Linked DNA regions of Saccharomyces cerevisiae S288C. Changing the gene in region 1 together with any one later gene gives a genetic interaction. Each region holds a gene or a part of one and is shown in the gene's direction. Other genes may lie near its edges. The genes, in order: GLR1, TIM11, TCM62 and HXT8.

Region 1 (5,975 bases):
GTTTATGATTTCTTGGACCCTGAAATCGCTGCTAAACTGCAGGCTCTTGAAGAAGAAGAAGAAAAATTGGAGAACGAAGGGTTCTACAATTCTGACGATGAGGAAGAAATCTACGACGGTTTCGAAGCATCCGAAGTAGATGATATCAAGGAGAAAGCTGCATGGATTAGAAATAGACAAAAGACGATGATTGCTGAAGCAAGAAATAGGAAGTCCTTGAAGAACAAAGCTATCATGCCACGTTCTAAACTAACTAAGTCCTTTGGTAAAATGGAAGAACACATGTCCACTTTGGGCCATGACATGTCAGCCTTACAAGATAAACAGAACCGTGCTGCTCGTAAGAACCGTTATGTTGAAAGAGGTTCTGATGTTGTTTTTGGCGACCAAGATGCTTTGACAGCTTCCACTGAAAACGGTGTCAAGTTGAGACAAACCGATAGACTGTTGGATGGTGTTGCTGATGGCTCCATGAGATCCAAGGCCGACAGGATGGCCAAGATGGAAAGAAGAGAAAGAAATAGACATGCCAAGCAAGGTGAATCTGATAGACACAATGCTGTTTCCTTATCAAAGCATTTATTCAGTGGTAAGCGTGGTGTCGGTAAGACAGATTTCCGTTGATTTCTCTACTTCTTATTCTTTCTTTTGCATGTACTTTAAAAAAAATATGAATATAAAATGTGGATGTACGTACACGACATTCTAATCTTTTTGGGCTGGTAGGATTACCATTTACATTTGATTATCTCTCTCACTATTAGTGGTTTCTTTTTCTTTCTTTCTCACTTTTTCTGTATCTTTTTTTTAAAAAAATTTTATTTAATCTGTATAATAATAATAAACCGATTTAAATTATCCAACAAGCCGACCCCTCCATGTTCTACTATTTTTTTGTATGTCACTGGATGTATACAAATAATTAAGCATGTGGAAAAAGAAGGGGTGGGATAGCGTCAAGATGACACTTCTACTTTTTTGTGACACATCATCATGCAACCTATCGAGTCTCCCACGAGGTTGACAAATAAGAAATTGTTATCGTTTTTGCAGTGTATCGTATAAGGCAACAATAGCGATGTCTCCCATCAATTGACTGATAAATTCCTGCAAACTATCATTTTTTTTTTTTCATCCTTGTGCCGCGTCTGTAGCCGAAAATCTGAGAGTGCATGAATCTTAAAAAACAGAAGACTCATCGCCGTCTTTGGCACATTGGGGTTGTCTTTGACTTCTTTTGCTTATTTTTGCTCACTTTGCTTATTTTACCTATTTAACTAGAGGTTCTAAAAGAATAGCCAACCAGCGTGTAGTTCTTATTTCTAATCCTTGTCTTGTTAAGTTGAAACTTGTGATATTGGCTGAACAAATTCTCCGCATTTAGACAACACACAAATTACAGCTTTCCCCTAGTAACGATTGTTGATTGAGCTCAGACAATACGCGCAATTTAAAAACGTTTTATAGTGTAAGAGAAGACAAGTACAAGAAAAAAATGGTTGCCAATTGGGTACTTGCTCTTACGAGGCAGTTTGACCCCTTCATGTTTATGATGGTCATGGGTGTCGGCATTTCATCGAATATTCTATATAGCTTCCCATATCCTGCAAGGTGGCTAAGAATATGCTCCTACATCATGTTTGCTATCGCTTGCCTTATTTTCATTGCTGTGCAGGCACTACAAATATTACATTTGATTGTCTATATTAAGGAGAAAAGCTTCAGAGAATATTTTAATGACTTTTTCAGAAATATGAAGCACAATTTATTTTGGGGTACTTATCCCATGGGGTTAGTTACAATTATAAATTTCTTAGGAGCACTCTCGAAAGCGAACACGACGAAGAGCCCCACTAATGCCAGAAATTTGATGATATTTGTTTACGTCTTGTGGTGGTATGATCTCGCAGTCTGTCTAGTAATAGCGTGGGGTATCTCGTTTCTCATCTGGCATGACTATTACCCTTTGGAAGGGATTGGGAATTATCCTTCATATAATATCAAAATGGCATCCGAAAACATGAAAAGTGTATTGCTACTGGATATCATTCCGCTGGTTGTCGTCGCTTCAAGTTGTGGAACATTCACAATGTCAGAAATATTCTTCCATGCGTTTAATAGAAACATTCAACTGATAACGTTGGTCATATGTGCCTTAACGTGGCTGCATGCCATTATCTTCGTCTTCATACTGATTGCGATATACTTCTGGAGTCTTTATATTAATAAGATACCACCAATGACACAGGTTTTCACCTTATTCCTGCTTTTGGGCCCGATGGGCCAAGGAAGTTTTGGAGTCTTATTGCTTACAGATAATATAAAAAAATATGCGGGCAAATATTACCCAACAGATAACATTACAAGAGAACAAGAGATATTGACTATTGCAGTTCCATGGTGTTTCAAAATTCTAGGCATGGTTTCTGCTATGGCATTGCTCGCTATGGGCTATTTTTTCACCGTGATTTCTGTCGTTTCAATCCTGTCGTACTACAATAAAAAAGAGATTGAAAACGAGACAGGAAAAGTGAAGAGAGTTTATACCTTCCACAAAGGTTTTTGGGGGATGACTTTCCCGATGGGTACTATGTCTTTAGGAAACGAAGAGTTATATGTGCAGTATAACCAGTACGTTCCCTTATATGCATTTAGAGTCCTAGGAACCATATACGGCGGTGTTTGCGTTTGTTGGTCAATTCTATGCCTTTTATGCACATTGCATGAGTATTCTAAAAAGATGCTGCATGCTGCCCGTAAATCTTCATTATTTTCAGAGTCAGGTACGGAAAAGACGACAGTTTCTCCGTATAACAGCATTGAAAGCGTGGAAGAATCAAACTCGGCTCTAGATTTTACGCGTTTAGCATAAAATTGTTGGTTTTATACGTACATAATTGGCAAGCATTTCATGTAGGAGTCTCAATAGATAGTTTAATTCATTTGCACGGCGCTTTGCTGCTTTTGCTTCTTCACGTTGGTTTTCACTATGCCTGATATTTTTTGACGTCACTTAGTAAGCACGACCCTTGTCAATTTTTCGAGGATTTCGGAGCTTTCCATTTGGAATCTACTATTAAAATCAGTCTAAAAAAGTATAAGAAACACTTCTGGTTTTTCTCATGCGCTTCTCACTCTCAGTATATTTTGCTGCTTTCCTTCATATGTATATATATCTATTTACATATTAGTTTACAGAACTTTATGCTTTCTGCAACCAAACAAACATTTAGAAGTCTACAGATAAGAACTATGTCCACGAACACCAAGCATTACGATTACCTCGTCATCGGGGGTGGCTCAGGGGGTGTTGCTTCCGCAAGAAGAGCTGCATCTTATGGTGCGAAGACATTACTAGTTGAAGCTAAGGCTCTTGGTGGTACCTGTGTTAACGTGGGTTGTGTTCCGAAGAAAGTCATGTGGTATGCTTCTGACCTCGCTACTAGAGTATCCCATGCAAATGAATATGGATTATATCAGAATCTTCCATTAGATAAAGAGCATTTGACTTTTAATTGGCCAGAATTTAAGCAGAAAAGGGATGCTTATGTCCATAGGTTGAACGGTATATACCAGAAGAATTTAGAAAAAGAAAAAGTGGATGTTGTATTTGGATGGGCTAGATTCAATAAGGACGGTAATGTTGAAGTTCAGAAAAGGGATAATACTACTGAAGTTTACTCCGCTAACCATATTTTAGTTGCGACCGGTGGAAAGGCTATTTTCCCCGAAAACATTCCAGGTTTCGAATTAGGTACTGATTCTGATGGGTTCTTTAGATTGGAAGAACAACCTAAGAAAGTTGTTGTTGTTGGCGCTGGTTATATTGGTATTGAGCTAGCAGGTGTGTTCCATGGGCTGGGATCCGAAACGCACTTGGTAATTAGAGGTGAAACTGTCTTGAGAAAATTTGATGAATGCATCCAGAACACTATTACTGACCATTACGTAAAGGAAGGCATCAACGTTCATAAACTATCCAAAATTGTTAAGGTGGAGAAAAATGTAGAAACTGACAAACTGAAAATACATATGAATGACTCAAAGTCCATCGATGACGTTGACGAATTAATTTGGACAATTGGACGTAAATCCCATCTAGGTATGGGTTCAGAAAATGTAGGTATAAAGCTGAACTCTCATGACCAAATAATTGCTGATGAATATCAGAACACCAATGTTCCAAACATTTATTCTCTAGGTGACGTTGTTGGAAAAGTTGAATTGACACCTGTCGCTATTGCAGCGGGCAGAAAGCTGTCTAATAGACTGTTTGGTCCAGAGAAATTCCGTAATGACAAACTAGATTACGAGAACGTCCCCAGCGTAATTTTCTCACATCCTGAAGCCGGTTCCATTGGTATTTCTGAGAAGGAAGCCATTGAAAAGTACGGTAAGGAGAATATAAAGGTCTACAATTCCAAATTTACCGCCATGTACTATGCTATGTTGAGTGAGAAATCACCCACAAGATATAAAATTGTTTGTGCGGGACCAAATGAAAAGGTTGTCGGTCTGCACATTGTTGGTGATTCCTCTGCAGAAATCTTGCAAGGGTTCGGTGTTGCTATAAAGATGGGTGCCACTAAGGCTGATTTCGATAATTGTGTTGCTATTCATCCGACTAGCGCAGAAGAATTGGTTACTATGAGATGAAGCAACGAAACTAGACGTCCAATCTGCTGTTGCTATACTGGACTTTTGTACTCTTGTAAACAATCTTATATAGCATCCTGAAATACGTAGTAATTTTGTCATTTCTGTTCAAGGACAAGGGTTCCTTTTTTTTTCAGACTATTAGCTACTGTGGACTCGCTTGGATATTCAGTTGAGGATACATTCCGACTCTCGTTTACAATACATATGATTATTTTTCTTTTTGTTAATTATATAAAAAATAAAGTTATTTGATTTTAAGCTTAAAAATACACAAAATACAGAATAAGAAAGGAGTTTTTGAACAAAAGAATTTATCTTTTACTGCTTTCTAACTTTAAGCCTTCAAAGAAGAAGCTCTTCTCTTTCTGATTTCAGCCTTCTCAGCCTTTCTTTCAGACAATCTCTTAGCCAACAATTGAGCGTATTCGGCAGCAGCTTCTCTTTGAGCTTGAGCGTTTCTGACCTTCAAAGCTCTTTGGTGTCTCTTTCTTTGCAATCTTTGAGGAGTAACCAATCTTTGGATCTTTGGAGCCTTGGTGTAAGTCTTTTCACCCTTGGTGACTTCTCTTCTGATGACGAAATCACGAACGTCATCTTCCTTGGACAAACCGAAGAACTTTCTGATGTTGTTAGCTCTCTTTGGACCCAATCTCTTTGGAACAGTAGTGTCAGTTAGACCTTCCAATTCTTGCTCACCCTTCTTGACAATGACCAAAGCCAAGACAGCCAAATCTGGACCAACAATGGCACCTCTGACGGACTTTCTCTTTCTTTCACCATCACGTCTTGGTCTGTAACAAGAAACGTTCTTGGTCAACAACAACTTGATTCTAGTTGGCAACAAAACACCTTGCTTCATTGGGAAACCTTGTTTGTCGTTACCACCAGAGATCTTGAAGACGTAACCCTTGAATTCGTCACCAACGGCTTCACCATCGACTTCTTGACCGATTCTCTTGTCGAAGAAAACACGAATACGGTGTTCATCATCAATTTCGAAGGTCTTTTGAGACCCGTTAACTGGGTAAGAAATGTTCAACTATTTTAAATTTTCAACAGGTTATTAAGAAAATTTGTTAGTATACTATTGCAAAATTAATGTTTGAATAGGGTGAAGTTTATTACTCTAGAGAAATTATTAAGTGGAAGATGAAAAAGCTTGTCTTTTATTGACTATACTCCAAGTATATGAACTGCTTCAATTTCACGGTTTGTAGTAACAGTATATGTAAACCCGCTCTGTTTGTTTAAAAATAACGCCACAAACGCATCAATTAGTATATGGTAGTCTTCCTGCTTCTTTCCATAAAAAATTT
Region 2 (4,762 bases), on another chromosome or scaffold:
TTGAACTTTTGGAGGTTACTTCAACTAAGAGCAGTATCAAAGTTCCCTATATTAACAGGATCAACCATTTGGAAGTAGACCAGAACATTGCAGTAATTTCTCGTGGCTGTGGAGTCGTAGACATATTAGACTTAAAAGCAAGGATTTCTAAACCACTTGCTCGTTTGAATAATTTCATCACCGCTGTTCATATCAATACTTCTAGAAAATCTGTAGTAGTAATTACTGCAGACAATAAGATTTATGAATTCAATATGAATTTGAATTCGGAAGCCGAGAATGAAGATAGCGAAAGCGTATTAACTCAATGGTCAAAAAACAATACGGATAACTTACCAAAAGAATGGAAGACATTAAAAGAGAACTGTGTAGGGATATTTTCAGACATAGAAAATAGTAGCAGATTATGGTTTTGGGGGGCTACTTGGATATCAAGAATAGACTTTGATGTTGACTTCCCTATAAATAAGAGAAGAAAACAGAAAAAACGTACACACGAAGGGCTAACTATCACAGATGAAAGTAATTTCATGAACGACGAGGAAGATGACGAAGATGACGATATTGATATGGAAATCAGCGAAAACTTGAATGTATTATTAAACCAAGGAAACAAAATAAAGTCCACAGATGTACAAAGAAACGAAGAAAGCTCCGGTCACTTCTTCTTTACTGATAAATATAAACCTTTACTGTTTGTTGACTTAATTTCTAGTAATGAATTGGCAATAATTGAAAGAAATCCATTAACTTTTCACTCCAAACAAAAGGCGTTTATTCAACCAAAGTTAGTGTTTTGATTAATTTAAGTCAACATACCGAAGAATAGAGAGATGCTATTAAAAGGCTATCATACTCTAAGGGCATTTTTCAGTTACAAAAAACTCTAATGGCGTTAGTACTTTATAGAAACTCGCTAATGTAAAATAGCCAAGCACATACGCAGACATATATATGTAGTAATCACGTATGCAGACATTAAATGTGAGCCATTTATTGGTATAAATGTATTCCTGAATTACAAAAGTACTGGCGATGGAATCACTCTGGCTATCACTGTTATTTCCAGGCAGGGTAATACTTTGGGAAAACAATAGAATAATGAAAACATATGATCAGTAGCTAAATTGACCGACCTAAAGAGCAAAGCCGGATCTCATGGTTTTTAAAGGGATATCACCGAATTTCCTGGCGACTTATCTATTATGGATCTTGAAAATGTTTCATGTCCCATTTGTCTAAGGAAGTTTGATAACTTACAAGCACTAAATGCACATTTAGATGTTGAGCATGGGTTTAACGATAATGAAGATTCACTCGGTTCCAATGACAGTCGTTTAGTCAATGGTAAACAAAAAAAGGCCAGATCTGTTGATAGCAGTGCGCAAAAGTTGAAAAGAAGCCATTGGGAAAAATTCAAAAAAGGGAAGAGCTGCTGTCACACATGTGGAAGGACTTTGAATAACAATATTGGCGCCATTAATTGTAGGAAATGTGGTAAACTGTATTGCAGAAGGCATCTTCCTAATATGATTAAACTTAATCTTTCCGCACAGTATGACCCCAGAAACGGGAAATGGTACAATTGCTGCCATGATTGTTTCGTCACAAAACCTGGCTATAACGATTATGGCGAAGTAATAGATTTAACACCAGAATTCTTTAAGGTACGAAATATAAAAAGAGAGGACAAAAACTTAAGGCTATTACAATTAGAAAATCGGTTTGTCCGTCTAGTTGATGGTCTGATTACACTCTATAACACATATTCTAGATCCATTATTCATAATTTGAAGATGAATAGTGAAATGTCCAAGTTAGAACGTACAGTTACTCCATGGAGAGATGATAGAAGTGTACTCTTTTGTAACATATGTTCCGAACCATTTGGGCTATTACTAAGGAAGCATCACTGCAGATTATGTGGTATGGTTGTTTGTGATGATGCAAACAGGAACTGCTCAAACGAAATAAGCATAGGTTATTTAATGTCTGCAGCGTCAGATCTGCCATTCGAATACAATATACAGAAGGATGATTTACTTCATATTCCTATATCCATAAGATTGTGCTCGCACTGTATCGATATGCTATTTATTGGCAGGAAATTTAACAAGGACGTTAGAATGCCGCTAAGTGGAATATTTGCTAAATATGATAGCATGCAAAATATATCCAAAGTAATTGATAGTCTCCTGCCCATTTTTGAAGACTCATTGAATAGCCTGAAGGTGGAGACTGCCAAGGATTCTGAAAATACACTTGATCCAAAGAATCTGAATGATCTCGCTCGATTAAGACATAAATTACTCAATTCTTTTAACTTGTATAATACACTAACAAGACAGCTCTTAAGTGTAGAACCTCAAAGTCATCTAGAGAGACAACTTCAAAATTCGATCAAGATAGCTTCCGCTGCATACATAAACGAAAAAATCCTACCGTTGAAGTCGCTTCCGGCAATTTTGAACCCAGAGGGCCATAAAACGAATGAAGATGGGCAAAAAGCTGAACCAGAGGTAAAGAAATTATCGCAACTAATGATCGAAAACTTGACCATAAAAGAAGTGAAAGAGCTGAGAGAAGAATTGATGGTCCTAAAGGAACAAAGCTACCTTATTGAGTCCACAATTCAGGACTATAAGAAGCAGCGTAGATTGGAGGAGATCGTCACACTTAATAAGAACTTAGAAGAATTGCACTCAAGAATACATACCGTTCAATCGAAGCTGGGTGACCATGGGTTTAATTAAGACATATCTTTATTATTCGATCATTCGCGGAATCTCCACGCTAATTGGTCCGCGGAGCCAATCAGATCTATTTAAGGGTATAAATTTTTCTTTAGTTTTTTTGACTTTTCACACAGAAATTTTAGATAAAAGGAAGTATTATATCGGAACATAACGTATATAGGAACTAGCTGAGTGAGTTAAAGGATGTCGACAGTTAATGTTTTGAGATACTCTGCGTTGGGTTTGGGGCTATTTTTTGGTTTTAGAAATGATATGATTTTGAAGTGTAATGCTAAGAAGAAAGAGGAGCAGGCACAGTACGAGGAGAAATTGAAGCTGGTAGAGGAGGCAAAGAAGGAATACGCCAAGCTACACCCTGTAGTAACTCCTAAAGATGTGCCTGCGAACGCCTCATTTAATTTGGAAGATCCTAATATAGATTTTGAAAGAGTTATTCTTAACGCCGTTGAATCCCTGAAGGAAGCTTCAACATAAATAGAAGCTTCAACATAAATAGGATACTAAAAATGCACATTAGCTCGCACTGAATGACGAAGTTATGATGGATTCTCGTTCGCTAGATGTTCCATATTTTTTTCTTCATTCGTTAGTGCACAAACAATAAGGAAAAAAATGAAATGTATATATTCTAGAACATACTAATATCATACGTATCGTATTGTAAACAAAATTCACATTCCAAAAATTTTTCAGATTCTTACTTTATATTATTTGCATCAAGCTTTATTAACAATGACACGTTATTTTATATGTACAGGATACTATAATGTCATACTATTTAGGATCACCTTCTAACTCTGCTAAAAACCCTTCCAGGTGGTAGGCCATATTTTTCTCTGACGGCGGCGACTTTGGCATCCCATTCGCTTCTCCAGATATGTGCCCCAATAGCGGTTAGATTGTATTTCTTCGTAAATTGCCTGATATCAAAATCATCTCTACTTAGTTCCTTTCGGTCAATCTCTAACATGTTAGGACCTTGCTTATCCTCGATTAAGGGTTGTCTGAATACCCAAACAACGAATCTCTGTTTTCCAGCATTCTTTTCAGGTACCGGAGGTAAGTAGTCAGCGATAATATTAGAACTGTGGAACTTTCTTGGATCTATTAAATTGTCATTATAAGTCAAATTAATATTCACCAATCCGTAACACAAAGCCGTTTTAAATGAGTCATTACTCAAATCTGGAACATCAGGATTGACTATCAGTACCGTATACAATTGTTTTTCAACGTTCACAAGTTCATATTCTTGAATTTTGAAAATGGGACGCATGGATGTGACATTGGACGATAGAAATTCACCAGGTTCGATCCACTTATTTACACCAGTAGAGAAGGGAAATTTGATATTCACTTCTGCCCGTGGAACCAGAGTTGGAAGAGTATCAGGAATGGCAGCCAACGTTTCTAACCTTTGCATCAATAACATCTGGCCGTACGATTCCCAATGTTGTTTCCCCAAATGTCTGTACACTGGCACATCATAATCTATTATATCCTTAACATTGTTCAACTTGTTATTAAACTGAAAATTGTATTGTACCTCAGGATTATTGATCTCTGCTTTTATGAGAAGTGCATCCTTCTTCAAGGGATTTTTAGTCTTATTGGCCAACTCATAAAACTTACTGGATCTTTGCTCAAGAAAATCATAACTCATCCTGAAAATCTCATCAATGTGTTCTGGAGGTGAATATTTGATACGGTTACTTCTTCTGCTGATAGATGGTGGGTCTAGAGAAGCTTTCTTCTGGAAAAGGTAATTTTTCACTTTTGAAGATTGGATAGAAAGTGAACTAGGCCTTGTGGTAAAGTCCGACCAAATATGCGAAGTAGCATTAGGTTTTTGGAGGATTTTAGTGGTATGAATAGATCTTCGTAACATAGTTCGGCAGTGACCTTGATTTCTGTAAAGATCTCTGAATAAGCTTTTTGCTGTAGTCTGATATTGTATTGGATACTGTTGTCTTATCCCAGACCTTCCGGCTTCCGGTTTAGCCCGG
Region 3 (6,400 bases), on another chromosome or scaffold:
GCACGGTGGACGCAATGGAAAAACCAATTGAAGTGAGCTCGGCCTTAAAAGATGATACATTGGATAAAGACATAGATGATGCGAGCAGTAGCTATTCGGATGATGTAGAGACCACATTCGAGCCAGTTGAATCTGAGGAACTTTCCGATTTATCTGATACAAGCTCAAGTGGAAGTAGTAAAATTTATACTATCCCCACATTTCGCGGCCTTACTAATAGGACCAATATATCACAAATTCTTTCAAAAGTTGGTAAAGCTGATTTAAGCCAAGATAACTTAACGCATTTGATCAAAAGTCATCAAAAAAAGAAAAGATGCGTGAATTTTAGAAATAAAAGATTCTATGATGCTTTCAATCCATATGTTGATAACGAAGAAGATGCAGAGTTATCTGACAGCGAAAACATTTCAGAAATGGATACAGATCTTTGTATAAAGGATCGGAGTACCTCAAGTGTTAGGTTTGATGAAAACTCACGTCTTTTAATCTACAAAAAATCTAAAAAGTTAAACAAAGATGAGACTCAAAGTGGTTATTCGACTACTGAAATGAGGTCAATTCTAAAGACAAAGATGAATTCACAGCATGATGAGGAGTCTCAGAGAGCTTCGAAGTGTGACACAGTAGGTGTAGCCCAATTTTTACATTATTTTCAATATACAGAGTATAAAAGGCAGAGAAATGAAGCAGAAAATTATAGACTGAGAGGAGAGCAACTAAGCAAGTACTATTCTGAAGAATATCCTTTGGATTTTGCGGCTGTTGAATGCGAAGATTCCGTTAATGATAAATCTGATATCATACTTAGTATGAGAGCTACGGAAAGAAACATTGGTAGGCAACTGAAAGGTATAAGTAGTCAAGGGGCACAAATTATATCGCTTGATGAGGATGTTTTTTGAGCGAAAAAACAACACTTAACTGCCAATACTCTGTAAAATTGTTTTCACTTTACATCAATACATTATCTACGTGATTATACATATAGTTATGCATTTGTAGCTAAGAGGGAATCAACTACTGATAGTTAGTATTCAGTGAATAACATAAAAAAGCATTAGCATACAAAGATAATACGCCTGTGCAATTTTTTGCCTATCAAATGCGCCTTTCTAGACAAGATATTTGGTTGAATATGGGTCAGCTATCTTCTATCTGTCGTTACCATATCAGTTTAAGACTACATTGTTAATATTGCTGGAATAGGATTATAAGCGGCGTTGGAATCGACCGCACAAACTACTTGGCTATTTATATATGATTCAAAATTCAGCACCTGATTTAGTAAAGGCAGAACTTTGACGATTGGTAATGTGTTAGAAAAATGTTCTGCAATGTTATATAGAATACGGCTTTCTTTATGTGAATTTTGATATATTGGTGGATTTTGTCATAATTTTTGGGATTTCGTTGTTGTTAAGGTTATAACATTAGGAATAGAGAATATGATAAAGGTTCTTCCCCAGGATACAAAAATTTACAAAAGAGATTGATACTTTTACGTAATAAGGCTACTATTTCTTTCTCCATTTTATATATTGTCACCCATTGTCCTACTATATTTTATTTCAGCTTCCCAAACATCTGATGACTGTTTTTCAATCTTTATATCATCTTTTTTACACTGTATATGATAACATATAATAATATGACTACTGGTAGACAGATGAAGGTTGATTTTGAGATATTGGTGAATTTTGAGGTAATTCTTGGGGTTTTTATTGATTAAGGCTATAATATTATGTATGCAGAATATACTAGAAGTTCTCCTCGAGGATATAGGAATCCTCGAATGGAATCGATACTTCTACATAATAATATTACGATTATTCCTCATTCCGTTTTAAATGTTTCATTATCATATTACATTATCAATCTTTGCATTTCAGCTTCCTTTAACTTCAATGGCAGTTTTTTCATAGCTTATGTCATCATCTAACATCGTATATGATAATACCAGTAGTATAACTATAGTTGATGGACGATAGTTGATTTCCATTCCAACAGATTCTTATTCCAACAACTTTAATATTATCTTCTTGATGTAGTTGCACATAATATAGAAATACTTCGTAGGGAATTAGCATCCCCTCAACTTACAAAACATTCATTGAATTTACCAGTTATAGGGCATGCGTAATGCTTTTAGATGAGATATCCAATGTATACAACTAACCGATATCCAAAAATGACATAGTATCGAGTTCCGGGTCCAATGGTCCAGTGGTTCAAGACGTCGCCTTTACACGGCGAAGATCCCGAGTTCGAACCTCGGTTGGATCAAACTCTTTATTTTTTTAAATTTGCTACTTTAGGTTCGTAGAAAGTCTCTAGGAATGAAATTATATCTTCTGCGTTCGAAAAGAGTAGCTTTAGTTGAAGAAGTTTTGATTTGAAGTGCATTAATGTCTTCCGCTATCTGTGGGAGTGAAGGCATCATTAGAGATAGATCTCAGTGATACCTAATAATACAAGAAGTAGAAATAAAAAATGTGCCCCTAAAAGTACTACCAAGGTATCCGAATTGATTCCTTACGCAGACCTCCCCTATCACAAAATTGAGATGAGGAAGTAGCCAACCTGGTCCTATAAACGTTTAAGGGCAATACGACCGAGTTTTCATTTATTCATTTATATGAATTGCTCTGTCGTGTTTCTCTCTCGGTTCCAGCAGTAAATTTAATGAATCCCCCAAACATTACGGAGCATTCATTACAGATCGGTGGCACCGTTGTATGGATGTATTGCCTTTTTGGAACAATACATCTACTTGCCGAACGTTATGTTTTAGATGGGTCCGCTTTTAATAGTTTAGGTAATTCTTATAGGATTGAAAATCTCGGTAACTAAAATCCGTTATGGCTTAAAAAAATGTAAAAAATAAAGGCCCTTTCTTCCATTCCCTGTGAAACAAAAGTTTCGATAGTGCGATAGTTTACCTTTTACGAGCTTTAACCTGGCGTTATTTTCTCCCACACTACTGTAAACATAAAACTCTCTTATGCTTTAACGAGTATGCTGAGGAATTGTTTGAGGAAATTGGGAAATCATCAAACGAAATGTTCGGTAAAAACGTTACACACCCCAATCTATAGAACAAAAAACCTTCAGGTTCTCAGAGATACGCTCTCTGGTATTAAGCTGTTGGAAAAAATAATAACTTCATCCTCCTACAATAAAACATTGATATATGAACCTAAGTATAAATCCAAGCCACAGGTCGTTAGTTCTCATGATACCATGAGACTTCACAATGTAATGCGTGAGTTACTAGATTCCCTACAAGTAGATGAAGCTACCAACACACGACTTCAATCAAACAGGCCTCGAAAGCTGGGGAGGGTTGGTCTACAATTATTCATGGATTGCATTCAGGACAACTTAACAGCAACTTCAACATCTTTGACATGCTCTTTACTGGAGCACTATTTCAAGTATCCCGAAAAAGAAGTGACCAATGGGATCAAGGCCGGATTACGATATATCAGAGATTTTCTTGCGAAGAACAAGATTATAGTGAAAAGTCAAAACGATGTTGATGCTCTGGTCGAGCAATTGACTATGTCCTCCTCAGACAGCCAAAGCATCAAAAGGGTTTTGAAAGCCATTAATTATGAATTGTTTTCGGATGACATTGTGCGGGTCATAAACGGCAACAAAACTTACGATGAGGTTGATGTATCCAAGGGTTGGAAATATCCAGCTGGTATTTTAGATAGTAATGAAGCCTATTTAAGGTCCCTGGAGTTGCCTACTAAGAAATTAGTTTCCATTGATAAAGATATGCTAGTTCTTATGTATGATGGGACGTTACGAGACGCTAATAAAATTCTACCCACGATAACGTATGCAAGAAAGTTGAGAAAATCTGTTCTCTTAATCGTTAACGGAGATTGCACAGGTGATGCATTAACATCCGTTACAATTAACAATAACAGAAACAAGAGAGAAAATAATGAAAGCCGAATAGTGGTTTTGAAGTACTCTAAAAAGGCGAACAATGACTTAGCGCCACAGGAGAATCTTGATTTTATAAAGTTCTTACGGTTGCCTTGCGGATATGACAGCATCTACTCACCAGAATATAGTCCTTTAGTGCCAAGCAAAATGTGTGCGGATAAATATTACGGCAGTATCGAATCCATAAAAGCGACCACAGGGGAGGCATTCTTATATAACTCCATTGATGCTGAAGCGATTCCAAATAAAGTTCCGAAATCCTTCCTCCAAAATACGGTCACTTTAAGCATTGGTGGACATAACGAAATCGAAATCGACAGAAGAAGAAATGCAATAGATAATTGCTTAAATAACGTCCTATGTCATGGGCTGGCCAAAGGTTTCATCCCAGGTTACGGCATCTCCCTACTGAAGGCAATTCCAGGTTTGAATGAACTGAAAGCAAATGAACCCAATTTCATGACTAAGGTAGGCATCAATGCTGTTTTATCAGCAGTTATTCTCCCATCAGAAGTGGCGTTTAAGAATGCATATGGGTACAACTATTATGAGATCAATAGCCTGATAGCAGGCGCTATAAACGAAAAATCGTTTCCAATGGCCAAGTTTTCTCCAAATTCAGAACCGGTGAACACAGTAAAGGATGGAAACTTGGAGCCATGGAGCAAAATGGATTCTTGTTTAGCCGGTGTAGAAACGTTCATTGAATTACTTACAAGCTGTAATACAATTATCACATGTGTATACAAAAAGCCTGAACGGCACAAAGCCTAGATAAAGCCCTTACATACTTTTAAATAGTCAGAATGAGTCATTGTAAATAGATATTGCCACGGCGCTGCCTTTTATCACTTTTACCTCTTCGTAAATATCTATTATTCCTGCTCAATTTCTCATATGCGGCTTCGGAAAAACTCGGGTTTTTCCACGCCTCAGCAGTAACTCCATCTACCTTTGGGGATTTGAACCATCTCATTCCAGTTTTGGATAACTGCGATTAGATTAAAATATTAAAAGATTATCGATTAGATAAGATAGAAACCAACAAAATTTGTTGTAATAGCTGTGTCCTTGTATCCTTAAAAGAAAACAGGGTTGAAGGCATATGTATTCACATCTTTCTAACTTGTTAACGTCTATGCTAGGACCGAAGTCAGAAAGCGATAAACATGCAAGCCCAAGGTTCACAATCGAATGTAGGGTCTTTGAGGAGTAATTGCTCTGACAATTCACTACCGAACAATCATGTTATGATGCACTGCGATGAAAGCAGCGGCAGCCCGCACAGCGAGCACAACGATTATAGTTACGAAAAGACCAATCTGGAAAGTACGGCATCAAATAGTCGTGAACACAGAGACAACCAGCTAAGTAGGTTGAAGAGTGAGGAATACGTTGTTCCAAAGAATCAACGTAGGGGACTATTGCCTCAACTCGCCATTATACCGGAGTTCAAGGATGCCAGAGATTATCCACCGATGATGAAAAAGATGATTGTCTTCTTGATTGCGTTTTCCTCCATGATGGGCCCCATGGGCACATCTATCATTTTTCCAGCGATCAACTCAATCACAACAGAATTTAAAACATCAGTGATTATGGTAAACGTTTCAATTGGTGTGTACCTTTTAAGTCTTGGTGTTTTCCCATTGTGGTGGTCTTCTCTATCCGAGCTAGAGGGCAGAAGAACTACTTACATAACTTCATTTGCATTATTGTTTGCATTTAATATCGGGTCTGCTCTAGCTCCTGATATCAACTCATTTATTGCCTTGAGAATGCTCTGTGGGGCTGCTTCTGCCAGTGTTCAAAGTGTAGGTGCTGGAACAGTGGCTGATTTATATATTAGCGAAGATAGAGGTAAAAATTTGAGTTATTACTATTTGGGTCCACTACTGGCGCCGCTACTATCTCCAATTTTTGGATCTTTGTTAGTGAATCGCTGGCCCTGGAGATCCACTCAATGGTTTATGGTTATTTTATCCGGATGTAATGTCATTCTTTTGACGGTGTTACTACCTGAAACATTAAGAAAACAAGATTCTAAAGGCGCTATCGCTCAAATTTTGGCTGAAAGACGTATTCAAGTAGACAATAACGAACGTGGAGAGATACAAGAAGATTATCAGAGGGGAGAAGATGAGACAGATCGAATTGAAAACCAAGTTGCCACATTATCTACTGAGAAGCATAACTACGTTGGAGAGGTAAGGGATCAAGACTCGCTAGATTTAGAAAGTCACTCTAGCCCCAATACTTATGATGGTCGAGCTGGAGAAACCCAATTGCAACGGATTTATACAGAGGCGAGTAGAAGTCTGTATGAATATCAGCTAGATGATAGCGGTATCGATGCAACAACAGCACAAGTTACGAGAATAAGATCAACAGATCCAAAGTTAGCGAGATCGATTCGAGAAAATAGTCTGAGAAAATT
Region 4 (6,284 bases), on another chromosome or scaffold:
ATGCTCGCGATTTCTGGCTTCGTGTTACTGTTGAAAAGGGCGTTTTGAGGATTCAGGTGTCCTCTGATAAAAAAACATGGCCGTTAGTACGTTTGGCTCCATTTCCAACTTCTGACCATTACCTTGTTGGACCAATGGCTTGCACACCTGAGCGTGGCGGATTGAAAGTTACTTTCTCGGAATGGAGTCTCACAGCTCCTTTAGGAAAAGCTTTACATGATTTGAGTTAGTTCACCTATATATCAATATATAAAGAGGGGTTTGCTTTTGTTAAGAACAAGGCCTGCACCTCACTAAGATCTGTTGATTTGGCACTATGCTTTTTAAAATTTTGTTTATACTCAATTTCGTCAAGATTTTTTTTACTAGTACAATCCATACAGTTAACAAAATACTGGGCAATAAGGCGTGCATACTACGAAATTTTTAGTTTTGTTATAATAAACGACTTTTAGCTAGTGTTTTAAGATAAAGTGACGAAAGTTAGGGTGAGAATAGTCGAATGTATTTACTAATTATTGAATTCGTGGTAATTAGTACTTATGATGATGGGGTTTAAAGGGCTAAATTTAGACAATAGAAACAGTAATAATGATGTTTTCTATTTTTCTGCTGTACGTTGCTTTTTATTTTATATTTCTTCGGAAAAAGGTTCAGTGAATTTTCTGTCTTCTATATACATATATAAATTGCAATTGAAAATAGCGTACAGCGTAAGTTAAGTATCCAATGCTCACATATGAAAAGCAAAAGTAAAAAGAAATATACAAGTTTATTATTCATAAATATCGGCATAACTATTTGTTTCGAAAGATCAGTACGTTTATGTTAAATGTGCTCGTTACTTCAACAAGTAAAGTCTTCCTTCCCATGGCTGCAAGGTGCGGGAATCACCATTTGAGTTTGCATAGTTGCCAAAAAACATGGTGTAGGAGGCCTCATTATCAGGAACTGAAAAGTCCGTATTATCGCTACTGAAATTGAAAACAGCAAACATTTTTTTGTTATCTGTGTCCTTTGTAAACATGAATAGCTTGTCATTATCAAGATCAATGAACTGAAAGTTATGTCCATAAACAAGGATATCTTTGTGCTCCTTTCTAACTTGTAAGGCCTTTTTCCAGAAAAAGAAGACTGAGTTTTTATCTTTTAACTCAGCTTCTGCGTTGATTCCGTCTCTAAATGATTCATTCATGTCAATCCATGGTTTGGCATCCTTCGAGAAACCTGCAGAAGGCTCATCAGCACTCCATGGGAATGGTGTTCTCCCATGATCTCTAGAGATCAAAGCTAATGCTTCAAAAAACTTTTTCATCTTTTCAGAATCTTCACCATAATCACGTTTAATGGCGGCATATGTACCAGTACCTTCAACGCATTTGATTTGCTCAATTTTTCTGTTTTTGAAGTTGGGCATACCCAATTCTTGTCCTTGGTAGATAAAAACAGTACCAGTCAATGAAATGATGAGAGTAGCCAACATCTTGGACGAAATCTCACGCCATTTAGGAGAATCTGAGCCAAAACGCGAAACGCTACGAGGTTGATCATGATTCTCCAAATAGATGGTCGACCAGCAATCTGTGTTTTCGATAAACAGAAAGCTTTCAGCAAGAGCCAGCTTAAAGTCTTTTAAAGTAAAGGGAATAAGTTCGTACTTGCATTTTGGGTTTTCACCTACTGAGGTGTGCTTGAAGTTGAACATCATATTTAGTTCTCCTTCTTTGGCACTGGTATAAACTCTGAAGTCGTCTTCATTCCCGATACCAACTTCTCCAACAGTCATGATTTCTTTACCCTCTGGAACTTGCGAGAGCATGTAGTTATGCATTTCTTTATGATACTCATGGATACGTGGCCCATTTATGAAAAATTCAGTTCCTTTTTGGTAAGGAACTGTAGGATCAGTGATAGGAGCATCGGGTAGGCCCTCAACCTTAGAATACATGCTGCCTACGTCAATACGAAAGCCATCAACGTTGTGACGTAGCCAATAGCCCACTGAGGAGTCATAAATGGCTTTACGGCACTCTTCATTTTCCCAATTGAAATCAGGTTGGCCAAGAGCAAACACATGCAGAAAGAACTCACCAGTTTTTTCGTCATATCTCCAAGCAGATCCACCAAAGAAAGATCTCCAATTGTTGGGAGGAATTGGATTACCTTTCTCATCGTAACCCTTTGGAGGTCTCCAGAAAAACCAGTCACGCTTTGGATTAGCCTTAGAAGATCTACTCTCCTTGAACCATTCATGCTCTTCAGAACAGTGGTTGATAACCAGGTCAACAATAACCTTGATACCTCTCTTATGAGCTTCTTCTATCATTTGGAAACAATCCTCATTGGTACCGTAACGTGGCCAAACCTTCTCATAGTTGGCAATATCGTAACCCATATCTTCTTGAGGAGAGTCATAAAATGGGCACACCCATATCGCATCGACACCTAATTCTTTGACATAGTCAAGTTTGGAGGTAATCCCAGCTAAATCACCCCATCCGTCATTGTTGGAGTCCTTGAAACTAGCAGGATAAATTTGGTAGACGGTGGCTTCTTTCCACCATTTAGGATTATGGATGATCGTCATGTTTTTCTTTTCAATATTGAGCACTTTCTATATAGTCATCAAGAAACAGTAGTTTTTCGCACCAAGATATGTGAACAAGTGTCCTAATTTATAATTCGTCAGACGTTTATGAACTTACTCCTCAAAACCGTATCAATTACCGTAGCGGTAATGGAAGATACAATTCTTAAGTGTGAATTACTTTTTCCGGTGAATTAGCTTCTAGGATTGTGACTATTTCAATGGACAATGTTGCAAATAGTTTCAAATATTCCCGTGTTTCTCCGAGGATTCTCCACGGAGGAAAAATAATGCAAAGTTTATTTCCCCGTTTTCTTTTCTCCGTCTAGGCATTTACGCTTTCACGCAACTTTATTATATCACCTCCGCGGGGATTCAACAACGAGGTATGTGGAGAAGGAGAGAAATTCCAGAGAAAGCAGCCTAGAGCATCCTGCTGCAGCAACTTATAAACGTATCTCACAGAAAAGGCCGGAGAAAGTTCTTGAAATGTGTAATTTAGCCTACCTGCCAAGCGGCTGGAATTATCCCGAGAATAATTCCGCGACCGGGCCTGTTCCTGAACTCTAAGAAGTTTTGGAATTTCCGAACGCTTCTTCGCATGAAAGACATGAACTCTTAAGTAAAATAATATGAACTGGCATGGTCGTAATCTTTTGGACGACGGAATATCATCGCTAACCATTGTAAGGGATGAAGCTTGACTAGATATATTTAAACGACCATTTTTGTTTCATTCTTATTTTAGATTGCATTTTTTATAAGTCACTTTTAGTTAGCTCAGAACGCCAGCAAAAACCATGACTGATCGTAAAACCAACTTGCCAGAAGAACCGATTTTCGAAGAGGCAGAAGATGATGGCTGCCCTTCGATAGAAAATTCTTCACATCTGTCAGTACCTACAGTGGAGGAAAACAAGGACTTTTCCGAGTATAATGGGGAAGAGGCAGAGGAAGTTGTTGTTCCAGAAAAGCCTGCTTCAGCCTATGCTACTGTTTCTATCATGTGTTTATGTATGGCTTTCGGTGGATTTATGTCCGGTTGGGACACAGGTACGATTTCTGGTTTCGTCAATCAGACTGATTTTTTAAGAAGATTTGGTAATTATAGCCATTCCAAGAACACTTACTACTTATCTAATGTGAGAACTGGGTTGATTGTGTCCATCTTCAATGTGGGAAGCGCCATTGGCTGTCTTTTCTTGTCTAAATTGGGTGATATTTACGGCCGCTGCATGGGTTTGATTATAGTTATTGTCGTTTATATGGTTGGTATTGTCATTCAAATTGCCTCTATAGATAAGTGGTATCAGTATTTTATTGGAAGAATTATCGCTGGTATAGGTGCTGGTTCCATTAGTGTTCTTGCCCCGATGCTTATTTCGGAAACTGCGCCAAAGCATATCAGAGGTACGTTGCTAGCTTGTTGGCAATTGATGGTGACTTTCGCAATTTTCTTGGGTTATTGTACCAATTATGGTACCAAGACTTACTCGAATTCTGTCCAGTGGCGTGTTCCGCTTGGTCTATGTTTTGCATGGGCTATTATTATGATTGGTGGTATGACGTTTGTTCCGGAATCTCCTCGGTTTTTGGTGCAAGTCGGTAAGATTGAGCAAGCTAAAGCTTCTTTTGCCAAGTCGAACAAGCTTAGTGTTGACGATCCTGCTGTGGTTGCAGAGATTGATCTTCTTGTTGCTGGTGTGGAGGCAGAAGAAGCAATGGGAACTGCTTCATGGAAGGAATTATTTTCGAGAAAGACTAAAGTTTTTCAACGTTTAACGATGACAGTCATGATTAACTCTCTGCAGCAACTAACCGGTGACAACTATTTCTTCTACTACGGTACTACTATCTTCAAATCTGTCGGTATGAATGACTCTTTTGAGACTTCAATTGTCTTGGGTATTGTGAATTTTGCTTCTTGCTTCTTTTCACTTTATTCTGTTGATAAGTTGGGCCGTCGTAGATGTCTTTTACTTGGAGCAGCCACCATGACGGCGTGCATGGTTATTTACGCCTCCGTTGGCGTCACAAGACTATATCCGAACGGTAAAAGTGAACCATCATCTAAAGGTGCTGGTAATTGTACGATTGTTTTCACGTGTTTTTACATTTTCTGCTTTTCCTGCACCTGGGGACCTGTATGTTATGTGATTATTTCTGAAACATTTCCATTAAGGGTGAGATCCAAGTGTATGTCCGTTGCAACAGCGGCCAACTTATTGTGGGGGTTCCTAATCGGGTTTTTCACTCCTTTTATTACTTCGGCAATTAATTTCTACTACGGTTACGTTTTCATGGGTTGCTTAGCGTTTTCATATTTTTACGTCTTTTTCTTTGTTCCAGAAACAAAAGGTCTAACTTTAGAAGAAGTTGATGAGATGTGGATGGACGGTGTATTACCTTGGAAATCTGAATCCTGGGTACCAGCTTCTAGAAGGGATGGTGATTATGATAACGAAAAATTACAGCATGACGAGAAACCCTTCTACAAAAGAATGTTTTAGACCGGTGAAAACACACGCAAGCAAACTTCAAAGTACATTGATAAATAATGTCCAATGCCCTCTGTAATATAGGGGCTTTTTAATTCCTAAGACTGATTCGATATATTAAACACCAGGGCTACTGAAGACTGACAGTCACGTTGAGTCCTATTATATCATTTTACTCACAGAAGATTTGGTAATATGATACTTAGATGGGCTTAACAACAAAGTGTTTTCTTGATGTTACTGCCCATGAAAAAAAGCAAATCAAATTAGTAGGCGGATTGTTAACTTTGTTTATTTTGAAACCCGTCAGGACTACCAAAATATAACAAAGTATTGATTATCGTCAACGCTTTATAGATCACTTTTTTTTTTTTTTGAGGAACCGATTAATTAATACATCGTAGCCTCTGCTTATTGCATAACACAACAAAAAAATACAATAATACGCAACTTTTGTTTATAGAAAAATAAAAATGGAACATATGATATTCTCTGTTCGTCATATGATAACTTAAGCACTTTCGTGTGTACATAGGTATTCTAGTGCATTGGAATGAGATCAATTATGATTTCCTAACCCAGAATTTATATTACTAATGATTTCAGAATTAATAAAAGCTGAAATAAAAGGAGTAGCAATGTAATAGGAAATAAACGAGGGCACATAGAAAGGAAGAAGAAAAATTACATTATGTGGAATTATTGATTCCCTTGGCAATTTCCCATAGTCTCATGAAAATTCCTGGCCTATTCTGTATTCATAATTCCATACTCTTTTTTAACAATGAAACTCCGGTAATTACCACAATATTTACTTATATCTCAATACGAACGCATGTTCTCTTCGAGGAAGACCAGCATTAGCGCTAAGCGCTAAGCGATGAGTTGACTTAATTTTTAAAAGGACGATGTTGGCGCGTTAGTGCATAAGAAAGTCAGCAAATCCCTTTAAGCTGAAAACCTTGATATATTTCTCGGCCTTTAATAATGGCGCAACTGATTTTAATTATCTTTGAATGGCTTATCTGTAACGAACATGTGTTACTAAACTAGTAGTAAGTTAGAAATACTGTTTATCCAGAATATGTAAGTTGGTGCTTCTAAAGTAATATAAGACCGCTTTAATTTGTTGTAACCTCTGAAATACAGGTAACCGCTGGGTCATCTCCTATCTAACTTTTGGTAAAAATGACATCGAA

The links.
Region 2: mutations in GLR1 (region 1) and TIM11 together harm fitness more than expected from each alone (negative genetic interaction), as found in Saccharomyces cerevisiae (one large-scale study listed by BioGRID).
Region 3: mutations in GLR1 (region 1) and TCM62 together harm fitness less than expected from each alone (positive genetic interaction), as found in Saccharomyces cerevisiae (one large-scale study listed by BioGRID).
Region 4: mutations in GLR1 (region 1) and HXT8 together harm fitness more than expected from each alone (negative genetic interaction), as found in Saccharomyces cerevisiae (one large-scale study listed by BioGRID).

Annotation. Positions count from the first base shown.
Region 1 is NC_001148.4:372,298-378,272, forward strand, and holds GLR1 (glutathione-disulfide reductase GLR1), read left to right. Parts: upstream 1-3,204; coding exon 3,205-4,656; downstream 4,657-5,975. Other genes in the region: putative GTPase NOG1, read left to right, coding at 1-624; SSU1 (Ssu1p), read left to right, coding at 1,496-2,872; 40S ribosomal protein eS6 RPS6A, read right to left, coding at 4,994-5,698. UniProt on the Saccharomyces cerevisiae protein: Catalyzes the reduction of glutathione disulfide (GSSG) to reduced glutathione (GSH). Constitutes the major mechanism to maintain a high GSH:GSSG ratio in the cytosol.
Region 2 is NC_001136.10:1,110,471-1,115,232, reverse strand, and holds TIM11 (F1F0 ATP synthase subunit e), read left to right. Parts: upstream 1-2,939; coding exon 2,940-3,230; downstream 3,231-4,762. Other genes in the region: small subunit rRNA maturation protein UTP4, read left to right, coding at 1-800; PEP7 (phosphatidylinositol-3-phosphate binding protein), read left to right, coding at 1,206-2,753; mitochondrial 54S ribosomal protein mL38 MRPL35, read right to left, coding at 3,541-4,644. UniProt on the Saccharomyces cerevisiae protein: Mitochondrial membrane ATP synthase (F(1)F(0) ATP synthase or Complex V) produces ATP from ADP in the presence of a proton gradient across the membrane which is generated by electron transport complexes of the respiratory chain.
Region 3 is NC_001134.8:322,678-329,077, reverse strand, and holds TCM62 (Tcm62p), read left to right. Parts: upstream 1-3,018; coding exon 3,019-4,737; downstream 4,738-6,400. Other genes in the region: protein phosphatase regulator GIP1, read left to right, coding at 1-905; QDR3 (Qdr3p), read left to right, coding at 5,133-6,400. UniProt on the Saccharomyces cerevisiae protein: Chaperone. Required for the assembly of succinate dehydrogenase subunits. Ensures mitochondrial gene expression at elevated temperatures and prevents heat-aggregation of the ribosomal subunit VAR1.
Region 4 is NC_001142.9:23,500-29,783, forward strand, and holds HXT8 (hexose transporter HXT8), read left to right. Parts: upstream 1-3,387; coding exon 3,388-5,097; downstream 5,098-6,284. Other genes in the region: REE1 (Ree1p), read left to right, coding at 1-230; oligo-1,6-glucosidase IMA5, read right to left, coding at 842-2,587. UniProt on the Saccharomyces cerevisiae protein: Probable glucose transporter.